Daphnia pulex: one gene and its partners. The main gene of each other region encodes a partner of the protein of the gene in region 2 in a complex. Links are inferred from orthologs where the notes say so. Each region holds a gene or a part of one and is shown on either strand. Other genes may lie near its edges. The genes, in order: DNA replication ATP-dependent helicase/nuclease DNA2-like, replication protein A 70 kDa DNA-binding subunit-like and cell cycle checkpoint control protein RAD9A-like.

Region 1 (6,604 bases), on a different chromosome or scaffold from region 2:
TGCGAACGGATTCCGCTCTTCCTTGGCCCCTTCTAACGGACCACTTCTGCCTCTTGTGGGAAAAGCACCCAAAGTCCCGATTAGCTACGCTCCCATCGCCAGTAAGCACAATTCTTGATTCTTTGTCGAGTTTCTCTTGAAACCGTCTATTTTTATCGCAGTTGCTGCCGCACCAATTCCGGTAGCACCTATTCATGTTGCGCCGTCCACCCCGTTGGTGAAGGGTGAGTAATTTTATATTTAAAAATCACCCCCCCCCCTCAAAAAGTACATCATGACTGAGCAATTTTTCTTCAATAAAAACAGTTGAGAAACCGACAGTAGTGAAACATGCTGGAGGCCACGTCGCTCCAGGTAAACCGCTTTTTACATTTTAAATTGTCTTTTTAACAATTAACTTATCCTATTTGAATTATGACACGCAGTTGCACCTGCTCCATTCAGCCCATACAGTTATGCCTACTCGCCTTATCCTTACCCGTCGTACCACTATGCTCCTTATGCTGCTCCTTACGGCTCCGTGGTAGTACGATCTTGGTAGAACGGACCAAAATCTGCCGTAACCAGCATTTCAACCATCACGAACACTTGAATTCCATTAAATTCCCCCTCAAATCATTGCATTCCTACCAGCGTTGACTGAAATCTCGAGTTACCGAGATCGAGAAATACACGTTTTCCATTGAGGAAATTGATTTTAATGCTTAATTTTAGAGAGTAAATAAAAATAATTACTTGGCTGATCGACTTTGGACGACTGGTGGGAGTTGAAGAGGATCGCCAACAAGAACAAATCTTTTGGCTGCAGTAAGTGGTCCGATGACAGCCAGCTGTAAGGCTTGAGCTGCTTCGTCGACAATGCACAAATCGAATCTGCGACGAATTAAAGCTGGATGGCCGACACTTAGGCAAGTTGCAGCTACCACTGGCACGCTGTAATTTTAAACACATAGCAGATTAAAAATTTTGATTAAGAAAAAATAACTCAGTCGATTTACCTGTAAACATTTTCTAACTCTTCCACTGTGTGACAAGTTTGGGTTTTGACTTCGGCACTGTAGGGCAATATGGAAGGGTGGGTGCGATGCTCGCGGCCGATCCGAACAAACTCCACATCATTAAATTGGCAGAGCTTGAGCAAGACGTTGTCGACGGCCGAGTGAGTGTAGCTCGTCAGGAGTACGGACTGTTTAAGCAGGACGGCCAGTCGTATCAAAGCCACAATGAGAGAAGTCTTTCCAGTGCCGGGTAGACCGTTGATAAGGCAATAATCTTCGCAAGTCAGAGCTTTTAGCACAGCTCTTCTCTGGAATCCATTCAAGGGTTTCAAAACGGGCCAGAAAACTTCAAGCAAACTTTTCGGCAAGCCGGCTTTAAAAACAGGAACTTTTTTATCAATGATTAACTCCCGCAGCCGGACGGCATTTGCATTGTTTGCCATCAGTCGACTGAGGTTCGAATATAAGAGCGTTTGGCCGCCTTGATACTCAAGTTTATCCAAGTGGAGGACCTAAACAATGCAAAAGAAAATATTAGCTGTTGCCATTTTTCCAGTGTGACACGATTCAATAAGCACCTCGAAATTTCGATCCCAATTGTGAACATTCCGGTCGGTAGAGACAGTAATAGAACTGGGACTGATGTCAACTAGACAGCCAGTGGCAACGGCCACTTCTTTATCAGTACTGAGCACCACGCTGTCACCTCGTAGCAGTAATGTGTTAATAGGTAGATGACTGCGATTAACCGGAATAAGCTGGATTGTATATTGATTGAAATCTGAGGTAGGATTTTGCGACGCAAGGCAATCTTGAACCTTGAGAAGACATCACAAATGTTTATAACGGAAAAGTGAAAAAAAAAAATAAGAGAAAGAGGAATACCTTAAGAAAACTGATGCAATTTCCCTGAGCTTCTCTATCAACTGGATCTATGCACCAAATATCGCTGATGGAACGAGAACGATGCTGGGATTCTTCAGATTCAAGTCGCAGCATTTTCGACCAATGTAAAAAGTAGTCCTGATATGCAGAACTTAAATGAGCAACCGACTCGAGAGGTAAGGGCGTCGAAGACATGCTTTCATTGTCGGCATCTTCAGCAATCTTTTCGGGAAATATTTATTTTAGTATTGACAAGACATTTTCTACAACAGAATTAAAGATCTTACCTGATAGACGGTGCATTCAACCCGTAATGGACATGAAGCACACATATTCACGCGATCAATTCGTGAAGGAAGTTGACCCTCGGAGATTTCTCCGTTTTCCGAGATCGAGGTAGGCGATGTTAAGTACTTGACCATTTCGTTTCTCAACTGAACGAGACCCTGTTTCTCGCTATGGCCGGCAGGTACGTGTTGGATGGCACCGTCTTTGAGGTAAAGTAATAAACCACCTGGATTTTCATCTGTTGCTTTTTTAACACCGGTCTGCTGGTTCATCATCATTGAATAAAGAGTAACTTGTCCTTTGTGCTCCGCGGAGAAGGACGAACGCCCAGTCTTTAACTCTAAAGGCATCTTGACTCGTCCAAGCTTTTTATCGTTAACCTATTTAAAATTTTAAAATAATTTTGTTAAGAATAAACTTTTTTTAAAAATAGAAATAGGTTTACAACCTTCAGAGTAAAATCCACCTTTCCCTTAACGCCAAGCCATGGAGACCACATATTCTCTTCTATATCACAGACGGAATCGATTTGACCGTCCCACATAGTCGGGGAATTTCCAAACTTCCCGCTTTTTCCGACAACCTGTTGCCTGTTGTCTCTTTTGCTTACTTCGCAGGGTCGAGTTGCATTGATGTACTTATCGATGAAATTTTTGATCATAGGAATGTATTCGGAAACACTGTTTTTCAGATGACTCTTAGGTATATTCGCCCCATATAGATCGTGAATAGTCGAAGGGTCGCTAAGTAATTTGTCAGCTATTTTATTTAGTGAAGAGGTGTCATAAGTTTTTTCTATTAATGCCTAATGCAAATAAAGGCATAAATTCAATATTGATGACACAGTATTAATTTAATAATAAAAAATTGCATACTTTTTGTAAAAGGCGATGGACTATAGTTCCATTGAGCATAACCTGATTTGTAGGCTCAATTCCACGAAATCTTTCAGAAAGCACTGCTTTGCGTTGACAAAAGAGTGAAGAGACAACTGAAGTTCCAGACACTAACAGGTCTGGTTTGACAACGATGAGACCACTTTGTCTATCAACAATAGCCAAGTCATAGTTTTCAAAGTTTTCATCAAATGATTCATACCAATCTGCATGTATATGGACATCATCACCCACTTTGATAGCAGTGTCTAGCCTGAATGAAAACAGACAAAAATTAGAAATTACTCCCATCAGCTAAACCTATCAATTTGATCATTACCAAAAGTCTCTTAGCATGCAAATTTTCTTCGTTTTGTATGTCTCGTCTAATGGGGAAACAACAAGACGCAGTTCATTACCATTTTCAGTCTTGTCGCACTCTAAGACTTTGTGTCTACCAAGACCATAAATATCTTTTTTCGTTGGTTTCTTCATTATTAATTACAACACGAACGCATACAGGACCTAATTTTGTATCTAGTTATGGAATAATAATAATCTATAGTTTTATTTTACACTTTTGACTTGGATCGAGTAAGTTGCAGAAGTAGTCATGCGGGATTCACGACTGCACGTGAGTTCAATTCGCGCCAAATCACAAATGTTTTGTCAGAAAGCGGCAGACAATTTAGTTACCTACACACCCGCAAAATACTAAGTGCGCCATCTGAGAAACCTTTAAACCAATAATATTTTGGCGTATCCACTTCCGACCTGCAGGTGGCGTTAAAAATCGTGAAAAAAACAACAAAAATTCACCATTCACCATTACTAGATAAACTGATGCAAGTTTTTCAAGACTGAACTAGTGCGTGTCACGTAAAAGACTCAAACTAAATAAAATTAGCTGACGTATAAGTTTATCTGTGCCAAAGTATTTCGTAACACGATTTAATCTATAAAACTTGTGACTTTGGCCTGTTTTCGGCATTTACACAGTTTACTTGTTTGTATATGTTTATGATCATCTGACCCTTAACGGAAAAGTTGAAGTACCGAGTTATCTACTGCAAGATTCGCCGAATAGGAATATCAATTGAGGGGAATGAAAAGTTTTGGTGCATGAGTGTGATTTATATGCAAAAAGAGGTAATTCAATATTTGTTTTTCAAATGGGATGAATTCTTAACTGACCTACAAATTTCTAGGCTGACGCAGTTTGAAAACATGGGAAGTAGACCACCACCTCCTAGTCCTCCATTTCAAATCACATTTGGGAGGTAGTATGTTTACTTCCTGATTCCTTAACTTTGCCTTACATGTTTTATGATTTAGTCCTTCCTGGAGATTTCAAATACAACAAGGCAATAATCAGCAAATAGTTCTCTCACAATGGCTGCAAGGTCAGCGATCACAGCAAGGACGTCAAGGAGAAAGTCTAACAGAACCTCCTGGTCAAGGACAACCAGTCAACAGTATTGAAACTACTGTAGACATATCTGGTTCAGATAATCCAGTTTCAAACCAATCACCTTCAAATGAACAGACTATTCCTTCCACCCCGCCTACAACTCAGGCCACCCCCAATGTATCAACTAATCCATTCTCAGCAATCAACCAATTTTTGGAACAGAATCCAGAAATGTATGGTGTTCTGCAGACACTTCTAGCTTACATTCCTTTTTTAATCCTAATTTTATTTAAGGAAATTTACAAACATACTTCAGGTAAATAGAACAATTTTTATTATATAACTGTGCTCACATGTATATTAATTAATCTTGTCATTTTTCTTAGATATACTTGTTATTCTGGCTTTGGTCGTGACTTTTATCCATGCTGATAGAACTGTACAGAGGGAAGTTTCTAAGCAAGGGAAGAGAGAATTGAAACCTTTAGGAATCATAGCTCTAAATATTGTTGCGTGCGTGTTACTTGTGCACTTTTTGTGCGGCGACAATGAATTATACCACAGGTTTGTCTAAAAAAGAAATGTATGTTTGATTTCATAATAATACCAATTTATTTGTTTATGTTTATGTTAGTCTTTTGGTTTTCATGCCTAACTCCGCTCCAATAACACTAGCCAATTTATTTTGGGCCGTGACGACAACCGACCATATTTTGAAACTAGCTACTGTTCTTTTCAAAGGCATTCTTACCGCCATTCCAATTGCCGTGTTTCCTATCTCTCGACGGGTGAGAAAACTAAATTTTTTAATGTTTTATTGTTGCTGAACGATTTTCTTTATTGTTTCCAGGGAAAATGCTTCGCTTTCATCGAAAGATCTTCTCACCTCTACCGAGCCCTAGCAGCAGTACCACCATGGATTCACTACCTTCTTAACAGTCAGTCGAGTGAAAGTTCAAGCATTTTCTTCTATGATACGCTCGTTGGAGTCTGTTTGTGTGGGATATATTTAACCTGTAAAGCTTATAGAGCTATCAAGCTCGTCAGAAAATGGAAGCTTTCAGTTTCAAAACTGCTTCAAAGCACGGTAAGATCGAACCATCGTCATTTCACTCATTATTGGAATGTAATATTTTTTCTTTTTCTTAATAATTCAGCGCTATGGGGCTCATCCTTCCAATGAACAACTTCAGAACGCAGGCCCTATGTGTCCCATCTGTCACGATGGATACAGGAAACCAATCTTTCTTTCATGTAAACACATCTTCTGCGAAGACTGCTTGTCCATGTGGTTGGATCGAGAAAGAACATGCCCAATGTGTCGTTCAACGGTAGCCGAAGATCCCAAATGGAAAGACGGCAGTACCTCATATCTTGTCCAACTTTTCTGAGTTACTTACATGGTTGTTCATTCACCTTAACACCGATGCCTCATATTATATATTCAAAATTTCAAATGTATTAAAAGGTTGCGACTTTTGTGATCCTAACGTTGGGCGAATCGTACAAGTCTGAAATCTGTTCTTGTGTAATGTAAAAACAAAGAAAGAGGATGTTGTTGTTGCTTGGTTTTTACACAATATATTTTTTTCCACTGAAAGAGCGAATAATATGGCATCAGAGAGATAAAGAGTCGCTAAAGTGATATACTTAAAATGCTATTTTGCTTGCTATGCTATGCTAAACCTGAAAGGAAAAATAAAGTTTTGATCATAGATGTCGTTGACTTGCTTTCGTTTTCGTTGACTATTTTTGCTTTTGTTTTGCTCACGACTACGTAACAGACGACCTTTAAGAGACCCTTCAAGTTCACGTTGTTCTCGTCCATTGATTAAGGTTGGATAGATAAATTGTAAAAATTAGTTCGTTTTGTAAGTTGTGATGGCGAGAGACGAAACAGACGACACTCTCCCTTCACAAGATGTGGCGAAAGAATTTTACGCCAAGTACGAGCCCAAGGAGATACTTGGAAGGTGCGTCCATGCATGTCCACATTTTACCCCCATTGATACATTTTAAACATTGTCATACATTTTTTATTTTAGAGGTGTGAGTTCCACTGTGAGGAGGTGTGTGGAAAAAGAAACTGGGCGCGAATATGCGTGCAAAATCATGGACATTAATGGTGATCCTTCTGAAATAGAAGG
Region 2 (6,504 bases):
ACAAGGTGAGTTGAAAGTTATCTATATTGCATCACAAATTCATAATCTGTAGTGATAATAATTCATCTGTATAAACATTTAATGTATTCTCTGTGTGGTCAAAGGAATTGGAAGACATCAAGAAGTCTGGGTTGAAATCTTTTCGCGACATTCAAGTTGATGAACAAAACATTTTGACTTGGCATGGACTTATTGTTCCTGTGAGTCTGAATTTTTTAGATGAATATTGATTGAATTACCTTGGTTACAAGCCATCATATATTTTTCATAGGAAAATGCTCCCTACAATAAAGGAGCTTTTCGGATTGAAATAAATTTCCCTGCTGAGTATCCATTCAAACCACCAAAAATTGCGTTCAAGACAAAAATCTATCATCCAAATATTGATGAAAAGGGACAGGTAAAAATTTCAATGTTAACCTTGTAAATATCTTATTTGTCTGGCAATTTCTGTTAGGTCTTAAAAACATTTGCCTTTTGGAATTTTTGCCATACTTATTATTGTGTGTTTATTTCTTTCAGGTCTGTTTGCCCATAATAAGTGCTGAAAACTGGAAGCCTGCCACCAAAACTGATCAAGTGATACAAGCGCTGGTTGCCTTGGTTAATGATCCAGAGCCTGAACATCCACTTAGGGCTGATCTTGCTGAAGAGTATTCCAAAGACAAAAAGAAATTCATGAAGAATGCAGAAGAGTTTACAAAAAAAAACAGTGAGAAGAGACCAAGTGATTAAATGTTTTCTGTTTTCATCATAAACACTTGAGAAGAGGCAGAGTTAAAATTTTGAACTGGTCCCCCCTCTTTCCCTCTTCACTTCATTGTAGAGCAGTGAGAGCTGCACTGTGATCTTCATTTATTTTCATTTCTATCTTTGCCTCTCTTGATGGTTGAAATATTTCATTGCACATGAGCTGCGAAAAACAATACATTTGCAGTTGTCTGAAAAATTATTTTTTGTAATATCCATGTTTATTTTGCAAATCATTTATTATCATGTTACACACACGGTTTTTCCGGGATCTCGATTTGATTCACAAGAACAGGAATTCATAAAGAATTGTTCCTGTATAATCCGAAAATGAAGGTTTTTTATAAGTTTAATAGATAAGGAGCAAGGGAAAATCCATTCATTCTGATGCAGCCATTTCTTTCATTTCTCGAATCAATCGCTCGTTGTGCTCTTTATAGTTGATTTCCTTCACTTCATAGACATTTGTTTTGAGGCGGCTTTCATCCTAAAGAAAAGGTAAAAGCGTCAACAGATAACAAGATCGAAATTCATAATGCTCATAGACTTACATTGTACGTCTCCATTTTCACTCTCAGGCGGAAGACATACCACTTAAAAGTAGCTTCTTCGAAAATTTTCTGAAATTCGTTATTATCCGAATCCTTCAATCTACCGACCTCGTCTGCGGATTTCCCTAAAATTTATAATCAAATAAATAAATATTATATGCTAAACGTAACATTAGTTCGAAAACAAAATTACCAAGAAGAGTTTCAGCGGTTTCTTGGAAGCAGGTTACCCATTGCTGGTCCGTGGCATCCGCGATATTGACCTATAACAAATTTCGAGTGCTGTTTTGAGAGAAATAGATTTCATAAAATATCTTTGTCATACCGAAAGCATCATGCGCCATTTGAATTCCTGGAATTCGCGCTGGCATTTCTCACATCGATAGAGGCCATTGTTTTGATCGATGACCTGCGGGAAACGCAAATATTGTCAAAAATGAGTTGTTTTATTATATATTTATGTTTACCTTTTTGTTGCATTCATCACTGGGACAAGCCATGTACAACGCTCTTTCTTTGTTGATCATAGCAACCATAGCCTTAACACTGTAGAAATCAGGTTTATCTTTTCCCAGGTTTTCGAATTTTGCTTCAGCGAAAGTCTTATACGACCCACCACTACCACCAGTGCCAGCGCCACGACTCGCCGAAATGCTAGAAGCGGCCGATGATGAGCCACCGTTATCGTACCACCCTCTTAGTTTGTGAGCTTCATTCATGTCAGGATTGATCTATTAAAAATATGCGCTGTAGAATAGTAGAGAAATAGAAAGTCTTACATTTGATTTTACCTGCACGACAGTAGACGAGACTGTTCCTAGAGAACGACCTCCAAAATCAGAAAGTTTCACTCCTTTTAATGCTACAACAGGCTGGGAGCTAGCGTCAAATTCCTCGCCCATTTTTCCCCATAAAGTCAAATTAACCTGATGTTTGAAGACAAGAATGATTAATTAACTGGGCTCGACAATTAAACGAAGAATCCAGTCATACCTCTGTGTTGGTACTGTCCACCATCTGAACTTCTCGCATCCTCAATTCTTTATTTGTCGTTTTGGAAACGATAACGCGGACGTCATTTGCTGACTTAACCACACCAATGACATCTGAAAGCACGGTCAATCGGTCATATCGTAGGCACCATTCAAATAGAAGAATTGTAATGTTAATGCACCTAAAAGACAACTTACCAATAACACTGTCCTTGTCCAGGCTAGGTAGCTGATCAATGGGAACAAAGTTGAAGGAGATTGATGGGATATCTGATGTATCATCGTGGCAAGGAATTACCTAAAAAATAAGTAAAAGAAAAAAAAATTGAGGCTGGTACGATTGACGATTGAAAAACATTCATACTGTAGTATTTTGGTTGAACGACATTTCATAATCGTTCCTCATACTGCTGTACTGTTTGTTTGCTGCCTTCAGTTGTGCTTGTGAAATGTAAAAGATCTTGCCGATCTACAACGAAAAATAACAATGTAAATAAATAACTTCAAACACTGTTTTTGAATTAAATGTACCTCAATCATGTGGTAAAACTTGTCACACTCGGCATTGAATGCAGTGGCACGGATTTCACCAGTCTCATCCACCATGTCCATCGAGAAAAGCTTTCCTTCACCTCGAGAATTGCTCCACGTACGGATATCGGACTTGTTTATAATTCTCACTTTTACAGTCCACCTACAAACAAGCAAAGTTAATGATTCAATTTTTCTTGTACTGAAATTTCTCAACAAACATACTTGTTTTGGTAGGGTGTAAGGCTTACAATCGGATGGGTAATAATGTCAGACTTCTCTGTTGGCTGTCCATATCCACCAGTTTTGTTAGGTGGTGCAGACTTCGATCCCATATTGTAATTGTTCACATTTCCTAAAGGTGCAGGTTTTGCTGCTGCCTCTTCAGTAACCTCTCCAACATCATTAAGAGTCTGAGGGTTTCCTATTTTTTCTCCAACCTAAACAAAAAATGTTCAAAATGAAGAGATATCCTTATTTGTATTTCGAAACTAAGTAAAGTGAACATACTTCACTTCCAGGCACAATTGGCTCAACATCCAAAAGAATGATAATTTTCTTTTGGTCCTTGCCTGCAGTTGCCTTAGTAGCAACTTTGTTAACAACAAACTTTTTTACTCTAATGATGGTAAAGTTCTCAAGCTGACCATCCACAATCAGATGATTTAGTTGTGTTGCCAACATTCCATATGCATAGGAATACTTTCCATCAGAGATGAGAATTCTGTAACGGTCATTATTGTCTCCCTGAAGATTTTTGTAACCCTATTGTAAGAGAAGAAAATGTAAAAATGCTGCAAATGAAGAAAAAATCTTGCTCGTTGCTTACCAAAACTTGTAGAATTGGAGTTTCATTGTGCAGGCCATTCCCAATGATGGACTATGTCGAAATAAAGATATTTATAGTTTTATTCAAAAATTCGAAATTATGATTGATATTACCGGAATTGCGCCGCTGGTTAGTGCTGGGTGATTTCTTCTGTTCATTTTACGGAACCTTTTTTAACGGGGATTACTTCGTTCAGTCAACGTGCTTGAATTTTTTTAAGCAGTTTTTACGGACAAGACGACGAAGTGCGATGGCGGGAAAACAACAGTGGTACAAACGAAACCAAGGCTGAACGTGCAGCGTTGAATGTTTAAGAAACTTTTTAACTCAATGAAGACCACTAAAAATATAAAGAAGAAAAATAATGAAAAAGTTTTTTTTCTGAAATAAAGGTTCATACGAAGCAAAAATAAGTTTTCGTTTTATTCGCATTTTTGGCGTTGTTGGATTTTTTGTTTTTCGAAATGTCCGGTTGTTATAGCAACAGTTGCAGACGACAACGGAAACTATATCGTTATATGAAAATTTGTGACTGAATTATTTGATTTCCTTCAAAAACGAGTTAATTGCCAAAGAATCTCGAAAAATGATTTCGGAAAACTTTATTAAAGCTATTGACAAGATTAACAACAATGATACTAGTGGTTTGCAAGAACTTATAAAATCCCGGGACGTTGAAATTGACGATGAGGATGAGCATGGAATGACATTACTGCAACATGCCGCTTTTAAAGGGAAAAAAGATATTTGCCAGTTGCTCCTTGACCTGGTAAGTCTAACTATATTATCAATGTTGTTAATTTGATTGAAAAGTTGACTTTTTTTCTCGAAGGGAGCTGATGCCAATGGAGGTCATCATGAACACAAGTATACTTCCCTTCATTTTGCAGCTCTGTCTGGAAATTTGGATATTTGTCAACAATTACTTCAGTGTGGTTGTAAACCTGATGTGGTTAACTCAGTAGGCAGAACTGCAGCTCAAATGGCTGCATTTGTAGGTAGGCTAGTCAATCATAATGTTTGTACAAATCATCCAAAACTAAAATGAATTATTTTGGCAAACCAGGGAATCACACAGTTGTTTCCATCATCAACAATTTCATTCCACGCTCAGAAATAGAGCAGTACACTGTAGCTCCTAGCGATCAAACTGAGCCAAAATTGCCACCAGCTGCTGCACCAGCTTTGCACAAATTTGTGATGCAGGTTGTGCACTTGAATAGACACATCACTTCATTTCTTATTCTGCCACGGAAAAGCACTTGAACTTTTTGTTTTGTTTGATTTATCAGGTCAATCTGCATCCAGTTCACCTTTTGTTGACTATTCAAAAACTTCCTTTGCTTTACGATAACCTCACAAAAGTGAAAAACGTCTTGGAGATACTTAGCGAAAATCAGATGAAGCGCAGCCAAGAAGTCAACGAGATCCTCGCACTTAAATACCACTATTTGCGTTTCCTAGTCGAAAGAATGGCCAAAGAGCAGCAGCAGCACCCCGACAAAACCGTTTTGGAGTTATTAAATCAATATGTTAAAGCATTTTTGAAGCAACGTCAATCCGATGGTTTTCCCGAGTTTATGGACAACTTCATCCGCGAGTCGATCCGCACTTTCCCTTTCAAGGAGACGACCATCTTCCGCCAGTTGCTGGTCAATCTGTCCAAGACAAAAGAGGAGACTCCACTAGCTCTCAATCTTCTCACTTCCTGCATCAACGGTCAGCGTGGATTTCAAGATGACGACGCCTGTGCCACTTGCGGCCAAGAGAAGGTAGCCAGCAAGTGTTCCATATGCAAATCTGTGCAATATTGCAACCGCGATTGTCAAAAGTTGCACTGGTCTATCCACAAAAAGGAGTGCGACAAGTTGGCCAAGCAATTTAAAAATTTGGAAATTAAATCTCAAGACTCCGAGGCGAAGGCTGCCGATCCGGAAACCAGCAAATAGAAATTTTGATTATGTGGGGGTTTTTGCATGATCGAATTCGATGTATGTTCACCCCGTACGTTTCCTTTTTAATCTACAATTGTCTACAGCGGACCCCTGTTTGCTTCCATATTTAGCTAACCTATTCAGTTGTCCAGTCTTTTACACTGTACGTGCGGTCCCATTGTTTTTATATCGTGAAAAATCTGCTTTGAATGGCCCCCATGTTATCGTCGCATTCATCCCACACAAATACAAACCTTGTCATGCCTCATTTCTAGTGTATTTCTTTTCTTAGACTAAAAAACCAGCCACTAGATGGACATTGTTCTCTTGTGGCCCTCCTCATCCACATATTGCTACACTAAATCTTCAAATGTCTACCCTTCACTAAGAAATATTTCCCTCTCACCTCAAAACAAGGAAATACAAATTACGCGAAACCAATCGCTGGTTTTTAATCGACGAATGATAATTGAAAACTTGTTGTAAGAATTTATCGTATAGTTTAAAGAAGACAATAAGTGAGCCAGGCTGCAATGAATGTAATCTCTTTTTGATAAAACCAACCAAAAGATAAAACTAGCAGCAGGTTTTTATTTCCCCGAATTAAGTGTCGTTGGTTTTGCGCGAATCGGTTTCAAAAAATGCCCGAAAAAAATGGAACTCGAGAGCCAGTTGGTTGGACGTGTACAGTTGATGACGGAAGCGGCGGCACCGATCCAGAAGAAAACACACACACACATGTGTCACTTTTCTTTCATTCCGATAAGCTTCAATGCCTCTGTCCAGGGGTTATTTGCCCTCTTTTAAACATGTGTGGCGACGACGATCTAAATAGATATGTGACTGCTATATACCACCGAATGCTTTTACATGTATATAGCGCTGGTGATACAATATTTAAGCCTTCATTTTTGTTG
Region 3 (6,261 bases), on a different chromosome or scaffold from region 2:
ATTATTTACGAAGAGTCTAAATGGAGTCTCTTCGTCCGATTGGCCAGAGTTGATCGTTAAGCAATGGCTGCAATTTGAACGCGAAGAAGGAGACTTACAAACCATGGATATCGCTAAACAGAGGTCTGAAAAATAATTTAAAGCTTTTGAAAATTTTGATTTTAATTGTTTAAATATGCCAGGTGTGAAGCTCGGATGAAGAAGGTTAATAAAGAAAGAGAGGGGCAAACGGTTCAAGAAGTAGAAACGGCTAAAGGTAGGAAACGAGGAAAGATTGAAGATGCGAAAGAATCGAAACCCGTGCCTGCCAAAAAACCTAAAATAAGCCATGATGCCGCAGCAACTAGTACGAAAGTTGTTCCCAAAAAGAAAGTTGAACCTAAAGTAAACGCCACCGAACCTGCTAGCAAGCCCGTTGTCATTCCTAAACCGGTTACCGATCCTTCCCGTCATGCCAATACGGTCTTTTTAAGCAATCTGGCCTACGAAACATCTGAACAAGATGTACGCAACATGATGAGTTCTTCCGGCACCATAACGGACATACGTCTTGTTCTGGACTACAAACAACGTTGCAAAGGATTTTGTTTTGTCGAATTTTCTTCACAAGTAAACTTCCATAATTAAATTTCCTACGCTTGTCCGTTAAATTCATTTAAAACTATCTTAGGATGAAGCGAGAGCAGTTCTGAAGCGGGACCGTGAGCTCATGAAAGGACGACCGGTTTTCATGTCTCCAAGCGAACCGGACGCAGCATTGAAGCATCCAGCTTTCAAGTACCAGTCAACATTAGAAAAGAAAAAACTGTTTATCAAAGGTACGTATTTGCGATCTTTAGGTACGAGCTTAATTTGTTTTTATCCCAAATCTATTTGATGTTATAACAGGCTTAGCTTTCACTACTACTAAAGAAGACTTGGAAGCTCTGTTTAAAAAATTTGGAATTCTGAAGGACGTTCGATTAGTAACGTTACGGAACGGTAGCGTTTAATAATCTAAATTAAATTTATTTTTTCTTTACTAACTTCTATTTAATTAAATATAAAGGAAAGCCCAAAGGTCTGGCTTACGTTGAATTCGAAGATGAAGTTTCAGCGACGATGGCTATGAACCAGACAGACGGAACTACATTCCAGGACAAAGTTTTGACGGTTGCGTTAAGCAATCCACCTCCACGTCGCGAAGACAGAAACCTGGACAAGGATGAACTATCTTTGGGTGGCGGAACACGGGTAAGGAGAACGCAAGTGTCGTTTGTTCCAAACGCCGTCCTTCGCCAGACATCTCAGTCTTCCACCATGCCGCCACCCGTCAGTGTTCCCGCCAGTGCTTCGAAGAGCAATGCCGATTTCCGGTCCATGCTTCTAAAGAAATAATTTGAAAATGACATTGAAATGGCACGAATAAATAAAAAATGGACTGATCAACATTTAATGGCACTTTAACTTTTGTGATCATTATATAGGATACAGTGATGTACCGTTACAAAATTCTGACACAAAACAATACTGAGTTAACTCGGCGAAAGAAAAATGTACAAAATCGTTGGATGAGGGGAAAGCCGGGAAAGGGTTATTTCGTCTCTTGCTATTCATCTTCCTCTGAATCCGGAGCAAAGACTTCAGTTGGTCGCTCTCTGTATTCTTGTGTTAACTTGAGACAATTCTGAAATATGTAGCGAGCCCGAGCTCTCTTATTAGGAGGTGGTTGAATTTCGGGTTCCAAATCTACTTCCATATCAGGAAACGGATGGGGCTCGATAAGAGATAGACTGTTAAGACGTGGGGTATGATCCTCGTTAACAGGCGTTTGTCGTATCAAAGGTGTGTGTAAACGAGTGTGTGTCGTGCTTGCACGAGAACCGTTCCTAGAATCGACCAAATTGGCACGCGAAATGGTCCTGGAATCTAGAAAATTCACGAGGAGAGCAATGTATGTCAAGATCCTGACTTCCCTTTCAAGCCTGTTTTGTTACCTGTTTTATTCCTCAGGGTAGGGACAGGAGACGGATGGTTGGAGGTATTGCCTTGTACTGACATTTCGTGTTTGGCAGTTCGCGAACTAATGGATGCCGTAGTGTCCAGAGCAGGCGTTAGAGTTGCAAGGAGAAAATCTGCTGAATACAAGTCATCCTTTTGTAGACTGAACAAAACAGGCCTGGTAGAAGGAATTCCGTAAATAATCGATGCAACTTTTGAATCACAAGTAAAATGAAATATTGCTTACTGTCCGGCGCCTTCCATTCGACAATCAAGATCGAGTTTCAGGGCTTCTGCGAAGGCCAAAATAGCTCGTAATTCCTTCAAGCAAAATGTAACTTGAGTACACAGAGCGACGTTAAATTCAATGAATTCATCCTTGACCAACGTGACTTCCGTACGAACACATTTGGATGGGTCTATTTCATCATCAATATGGTTACTCAAATGTACTTGATCCATTGCAAGGGACCTTGAAAGAATAAACGAAATTTGAGGTTATTTAAACATGACAATTATGTTGTTGGATTACCAAGTAACTTCTTGAGTGCTTGAATGAAAACTTTGAAGAGTTTCATTGTAAAAACGTGAAGAGCAGGAAAATTTACTGGGGTAACCCTCCTTAGAGAATTCTGCCTATGAATTTTTAGGTTATTTTCATTAAAAGTCTGGCGAGACCAAATCAAAGGACTTACTTCAACACTTTCACATTCAAAGTATCTTAAGTTGAAGTACTTAACAATTCCATGTTTGCACCTGAACTCAATGATTAACAGAGCCTCAAGAAGTGGTAGCATTATCTTACATGTTTCAACTGATTTTTCCAAGCTTCCGATCGACCTAAATACAGACAAGATGGACTGGAAACAAAACATCATTGTAAACACACAATACTTCACATTAAAGTTATTTGTCAGACCTTCATGGGAAGTTTACATTTAATCACAGTATCTTCTTCTGGATCAGCGTGAACAGTATTTTCACTTATGTGCGTGTAGTCAAGAAAAAAAGGTAGGTGAAAATTGAAAGCTGAATAGGCAGATTTGGAAGCATTGACGGTCTTCAGAGTTAATCCATTTTCCATTGGTGAAATGTGCAATTCATCACCTATCTTAGCCAATGAGTGTATGGCTCGCGCCAAAACTAAAGAATAAAAGAAAGTGTTTTAGCTTTCAACTGCTTTAGTACAATCAAATGAAACATCATGTCGTACCCTTAACACTGGTTGCATCCAAAAGACATTTCATTTTTCTTTACTTCAATGTAAATTTAGTTGTTTGCACTAAAAAAAAATTCGAAATGCCGCCAGAAATTATATCGGTAACCCCATGTCCCGGATAACACGTTTAGAATGTTTAGCACGCAGACGACACGGAAATGAATTTTTTCAAGTATGCCCCGATTGGCTGTTGAGATTTTATCTTCACTGAAGATGTAAACAAATGAAACAAGTGACGAGCGTGACTCGTATTATTTCGGCCACATCTGCAAGTCACTGAAACTTGATTGTACTTTTAACCATAGATAAAGAAGACGGTCTTATCTGCTGAGGTACTTCAAGGAAATTTTTTTTCCCCTTGATTTATCAATGGTTTTCAATTATAACATTCTGAAACATTGGAAGACTTTCAATTACATCAGCTTTTCCGCTGTCCAATTCCTGCTGATTACATTCTGAAAAGTCATGGGGCGGAGCTTAAGAACAGCTGTGTAGTGTTAACTAGAGCACAGAGTGTAAACGTTTGTGAATAACTTACTTGTACTGCATGACTTTCTAAGGTAATAACAAATAAAATTTAAACTCTTTCATGATTCAGAATACAAAACATTGAAGTTAATGTTGGTCTGATATTCTGATTACCAATTTACCAATAATTCATTGGATTCTCCATAAACTATTTCACAGATGAGTAAACAAGGTCCTCCTCCAGCTGCCCCTCCTTCTTACATGGAAGCAGTGGGTGGTGTTAATCCATCAAGCCCCTTTACTCCTCATCAAAGTAAAGCATTTTTTTAGTATTTTAACTTTTAATGGGAAATGTGCCTCACATTCAAAATCACAATGTTTATCTCTTTTAATAGATGTAACCAACCAGCAGCCTATTATTGTGACAACCGTGATACCTGTTGGACCCGGAACAACACACACTGTTAGTTTTTCCCTCCACAGTTAATTATATATTTTATTTTCTCTATCTTCTTTCTTTACAGGTCTGTCCACATTGCCATGCTGAAATTGACACTTCTGTGCGTACTGAACCTGGTCTGATTGCCTGGCTTTCTGGAGGTCTTTTAGTTCTATTTGGGTATTACACAGTCAGCAATTTCTTAAGAGTTACACATTGATATAACACATATATTTTTATTACCAGATGTTGGTTGGGCTGTTGCCTTATCCCCTGCTGTATTCCTGAGTGCATGAATGTTCATCATGCTTGTCCAAATTGCAAAGCATACTTGGGGAGATACAGCCACTTTTAAGCTAATGTTCTTACTATGAAGAGGCAATTGGTTCTTTCTGTGTGTTAAATTTCATATTCATTTTTGGCAAATTTGGTTGTTGCATCTTGTATGCCAAAATTTACCTTTTTCCTAATTACACGAAGCTTTTCAATTTCAAAATTTCAAACAATAGAAATGCTGAACGTTGTATTATTCGTACCTTGCTTCAATATCTACTCCGCTTACTTATTAAAATCAAAGATACGCCGTGTTAATTTTATCACCAAAATTTATCAATGAATAAACTTCGAATATATTAAAATTGTCGTTTGTAATTTAAATTTTAAATTCATTGAAAAACGTTTTGTTCGACTGGGACAAAAAACCTATATTCCTTTTCTTAACTGAATTTTTTTAAATTAATTTGAATCTTGCAGTGCCGTAGTTTATTAATTATTTTTATGCTGCTCGTTAAATATATAGAAAATGTTATTCCTATGGAAAAAAGTTAAAAAAGAACCAAAACGATGCTTATTAAATGTTTCCCGCTATTTCATAGATACAAACAACATGGTTTTGGGGATTAACCTACCCATTAATAGAAGCGCAGTAAGAAACAAATGACAGGAAATGGTTGGATTTCTATCAAAGTATTTAATTATCATGACAGAAATAATCTTACAATATAAACAAAACGTAACTTTTATACATCCAAATCGCTTAATTTTCTAAAGTCCGTTTTTGTATCTCTCAGTGTTAGTTCTTGGCCAAGCCGAGTAATCGATTGCGACATCATATTCTGGCATCTAAAACAGAAAATAATTTATTTCGACCTAGACAAAGAGTTTTTTTTTTAAATAACGCAGACATACTCCTCCATGATTCCAATTTGCATAGCAGTAGTTCCGTTTAGATCAGAAATTACGCTTGCGGCTTTAATAAACTCATCAAACTTTTCCACCTGAATGTTATCGGATAGAGTTGTGCTGTTCTTAAAAACTTTGATCAATTCATCTGTTTCTTCTTTTTTAAATTCATTGATATCAATTAGACGAATCTGATGGCGATAGATGTCCAAACCATCTGCTAGCTCTTTAACTTTAGGGGTTACAGTACTTAGTGCATCTGAATACAAATGCAAACCAAGATTCAAGAATGTCTCTAGTATGTGAACATTTTGACAAACCTGTTGTTTGCTTCACAATTGGTTCCAATACTTCAATCTGAGAAGTGAGTTCCAACCGCATTTCTTCAAGTCTCTTCCTTTCCTTGATTTGGGAAATTTTGTTTTCCTTAATTTTGATCAAATTCCAGAGGTCTTCCATTTGTTCCTGAAACCATTTTCAATTAAAATGTTAGGAGTGTTGTTAAAAAATTAAATAAGAGTATACATTAATGTTATAATCGTATATTGTTTACCTTGCATTCTGCCAACACTCTGTCTTTAGATTCTTCAATTTGATTATTTAGGAAATGTTGCTGTTGATACATCATGTACATCAATGTAGCTTGCTCTTCAGTAGACAATTTTGTTCTTGATTGGGCTAATTTCTTTTCAGCTAATGTTTGTTGAGCAGGAAATGATGGGCCTACGAAAAAAGAAACCAGCATTATATATTTAAGTGATCATAACCAAGACAAATTTAATTATTTCACTGACCCAGAGGTTTGAGCAGCTTTGGTTCAAGTTTGTCGGTTGACCCGGCAGATGATTTAGAGAAATCCGGGTTTGTGATTGGGGAAAAATTGCAGCTCCTATTTTTGCTTGATGATCCTGTTGGGGTAGAAGTACCTCGTCGTGGTATAACACTACTTGGAGTAGAGCTTATTCACAGAAAT

Evidence for each region.
Region 1: the proteins of replication protein A 70 kDa DNA-binding subunit-like (region 2) and DNA replication ATP-dependent helicase/nuclease DNA2-like are in contact, whole or in part, in a crystal structure (PDB 5EAY), measured with the Homo sapiens proteins. The link is inferred for Daphnia pulex from reciprocal best matches to the Homo sapiens genes RPA1 and DNA2. Residues at the interface, in NP_002936.1 of Homo sapiens: Asn29, Ile30, Arg31, Ile33, Arg41, Arg43, Leu44, Leu45, Ser54, Ser55, Met57, Asn85, Leu87, Lys88, Arg91, Val93, Ile95; in NP_001073918.2 of Homo sapiens: Glu6, Leu7, Glu8, Leu10, Met11, Lys13, Ser14, Phe15, Trp16.
Region 3: the proteins of replication protein A 70 kDa DNA-binding subunit-like (region 2) and cell cycle checkpoint control protein RAD9A-like are in contact, whole or in part, in a crystal structure (PDB 8JZY), measured with the Homo sapiens proteins. The link is inferred for Daphnia pulex from reciprocal best matches to the Homo sapiens genes RPA1 and RAD9A. Residues at the interface, in NP_002936.1 of Homo sapiens: Asn29, Arg31, Ile33, Arg41, Arg43, Leu44, Leu45, Ser54, Ser55, Phe56, Met57, Asn85, Leu87, Lys88, Asp89, Arg91, Val93; in NP_004575.1 of Homo sapiens: Asp297, Phe298, Ala299, Asn300, Asp301, Asp302, Ile303, Asp304, Tyr306, Met307, Ile308, Met310.

The regions. Positions count from the first base shown.
Region 1 is NC_060028.1:7,929,417-7,936,020, forward strand, and holds the start of DNA replication ATP-dependent helicase/nuclease DNA2-like, read right to left. Parts: upstream 3,855-6,604; 5' UTR 3,542-3,854; coding exon 3,387-3,541; intron 3,321-3,386; coding exon 3,047-3,320; intron 2,977-3,046; coding exon 2,620-2,976; intron 2,552-2,619; coding exon 2,171-2,551; intron 2,106-2,170; coding exon 1,884-2,105; intron 1,817-1,883; coding exon 1,577-1,816; intron 1,511-1,576; coding exon 999-1,510; intron 934-998; coding exon 736-933; intron 692-735; exon of another isoform or gene 542-691; coding exon of another isoform or gene 426-541; intron 355-425; coding exon of another isoform or gene 307-354; intron 225-306; coding exon of another isoform or gene 162-224; intron 102-161; coding exon of another isoform or gene 1-101. Other genes in the region: cuticle protein 6-like, read left to right, coding at 1-101, 162-224, 307-354, 426-541; RING finger and transmembrane domain-containing protein 2-like, read left to right, coding at 4,274-4,326, 4,382-4,773, 4,844-5,021, 5,092-5,245, 5,308-5,544, 5,615-5,848; phosphorylase b kinase gamma catalytic chain, skeletal muscle/heart isoform-like, read left to right, coding at 6,339-6,430, 6,503-6,604. UniProt on the Homo sapiens protein: Key enzyme involved in DNA replication and DNA repair in nucleus and mitochondrion.
Region 2 is NC_060017.1:3,018,471-3,024,974, forward strand, and holds replication protein A 70 kDa DNA-binding subunit-like, read right to left. Parts: upstream 3,936-6,504; 5' UTR 3,812-3,935; coding exon 3,767-3,811; intron 3,705-3,766; coding exon 3,654-3,704; intron 3,590-3,653; coding exon 3,335-3,589; intron 3,265-3,334; coding exon 3,050-3,264; intron 2,988-3,049; coding exon 2,825-2,987; intron 2,763-2,824; coding exon 2,658-2,762; intron 2,592-2,657; coding exon 2,492-2,591; intron 2,408-2,491; coding exon 2,295-2,407; intron 2,228-2,294; coding exon 2,093-2,227; intron 2,033-2,092; coding exon 1,769-2,032; intron 1,711-1,768; coding exon 1,627-1,710; intron 1,565-1,626; coding exon 1,495-1,564; intron 1,427-1,494; coding exon 1,302-1,426; intron 1,238-1,301; coding exon 1,130-1,237; 3' UTR 950-1,129; downstream 1-949. Other genes in the region: ubiquitin-conjugating enzyme E2 L3, read left to right, coding at 1-5, 105-200, 272-400, 523-735; ankyrin repeat and MYND domain-containing protein 2-like, read left to right, coding at 4,240-4,422, 4,486-4,651, 4,720-4,859, 4,946-5,602. UniProt on the Homo sapiens protein: As part of the heterotrimeric replication protein A complex (RPA/RP-A), binds and stabilizes single-stranded DNA intermediates that form during DNA replication or upon DNA stress.
Region 3 is NC_060026.1:14,697,717-14,703,977, reverse strand, and holds cell cycle checkpoint control protein RAD9A-like, read right to left. Parts: upstream 3,436-6,261; 5' UTR 3,228-3,435; coding exon 3,194-3,227; intron 3,124-3,193; coding exon 2,900-3,123; intron 2,841-2,899; coding exon 2,676-2,840; intron 2,617-2,675; coding exon 2,513-2,616; intron 2,453-2,512; coding exon 2,228-2,452; intron 2,159-2,227; coding exon 1,965-2,158; intron 1,909-1,964; coding exon 1,589-1,908; 3' UTR 1,417-1,588; downstream 1-1,416. Other genes in the region: squamous cell carcinoma antigen recognized by T-cells 3-like, read left to right, coding at 1-123, 183-609, 671-818, 889-981, 1,049-1,377; lipopolysaccharide-induced tumor necrosis factor-alpha factor homolog, read left to right, coding at 3,887-3,980, 4,063-4,130, 4,192-4,286, 4,353-4,461; uncharacterized protein LOC124203995, read right to left, coding at 5,126-5,228, 5,295-5,547, 5,609-5,753, 5,842-6,011, 6,083-6,246. UniProt on the Homo sapiens protein: Component of the 9-1-1 cell-cycle checkpoint response complex that plays a major role in DNA repair. The 9-1-1 complex is recruited to DNA lesion upon damage by the RAD17-replication factor C (RFC) clamp loader complex.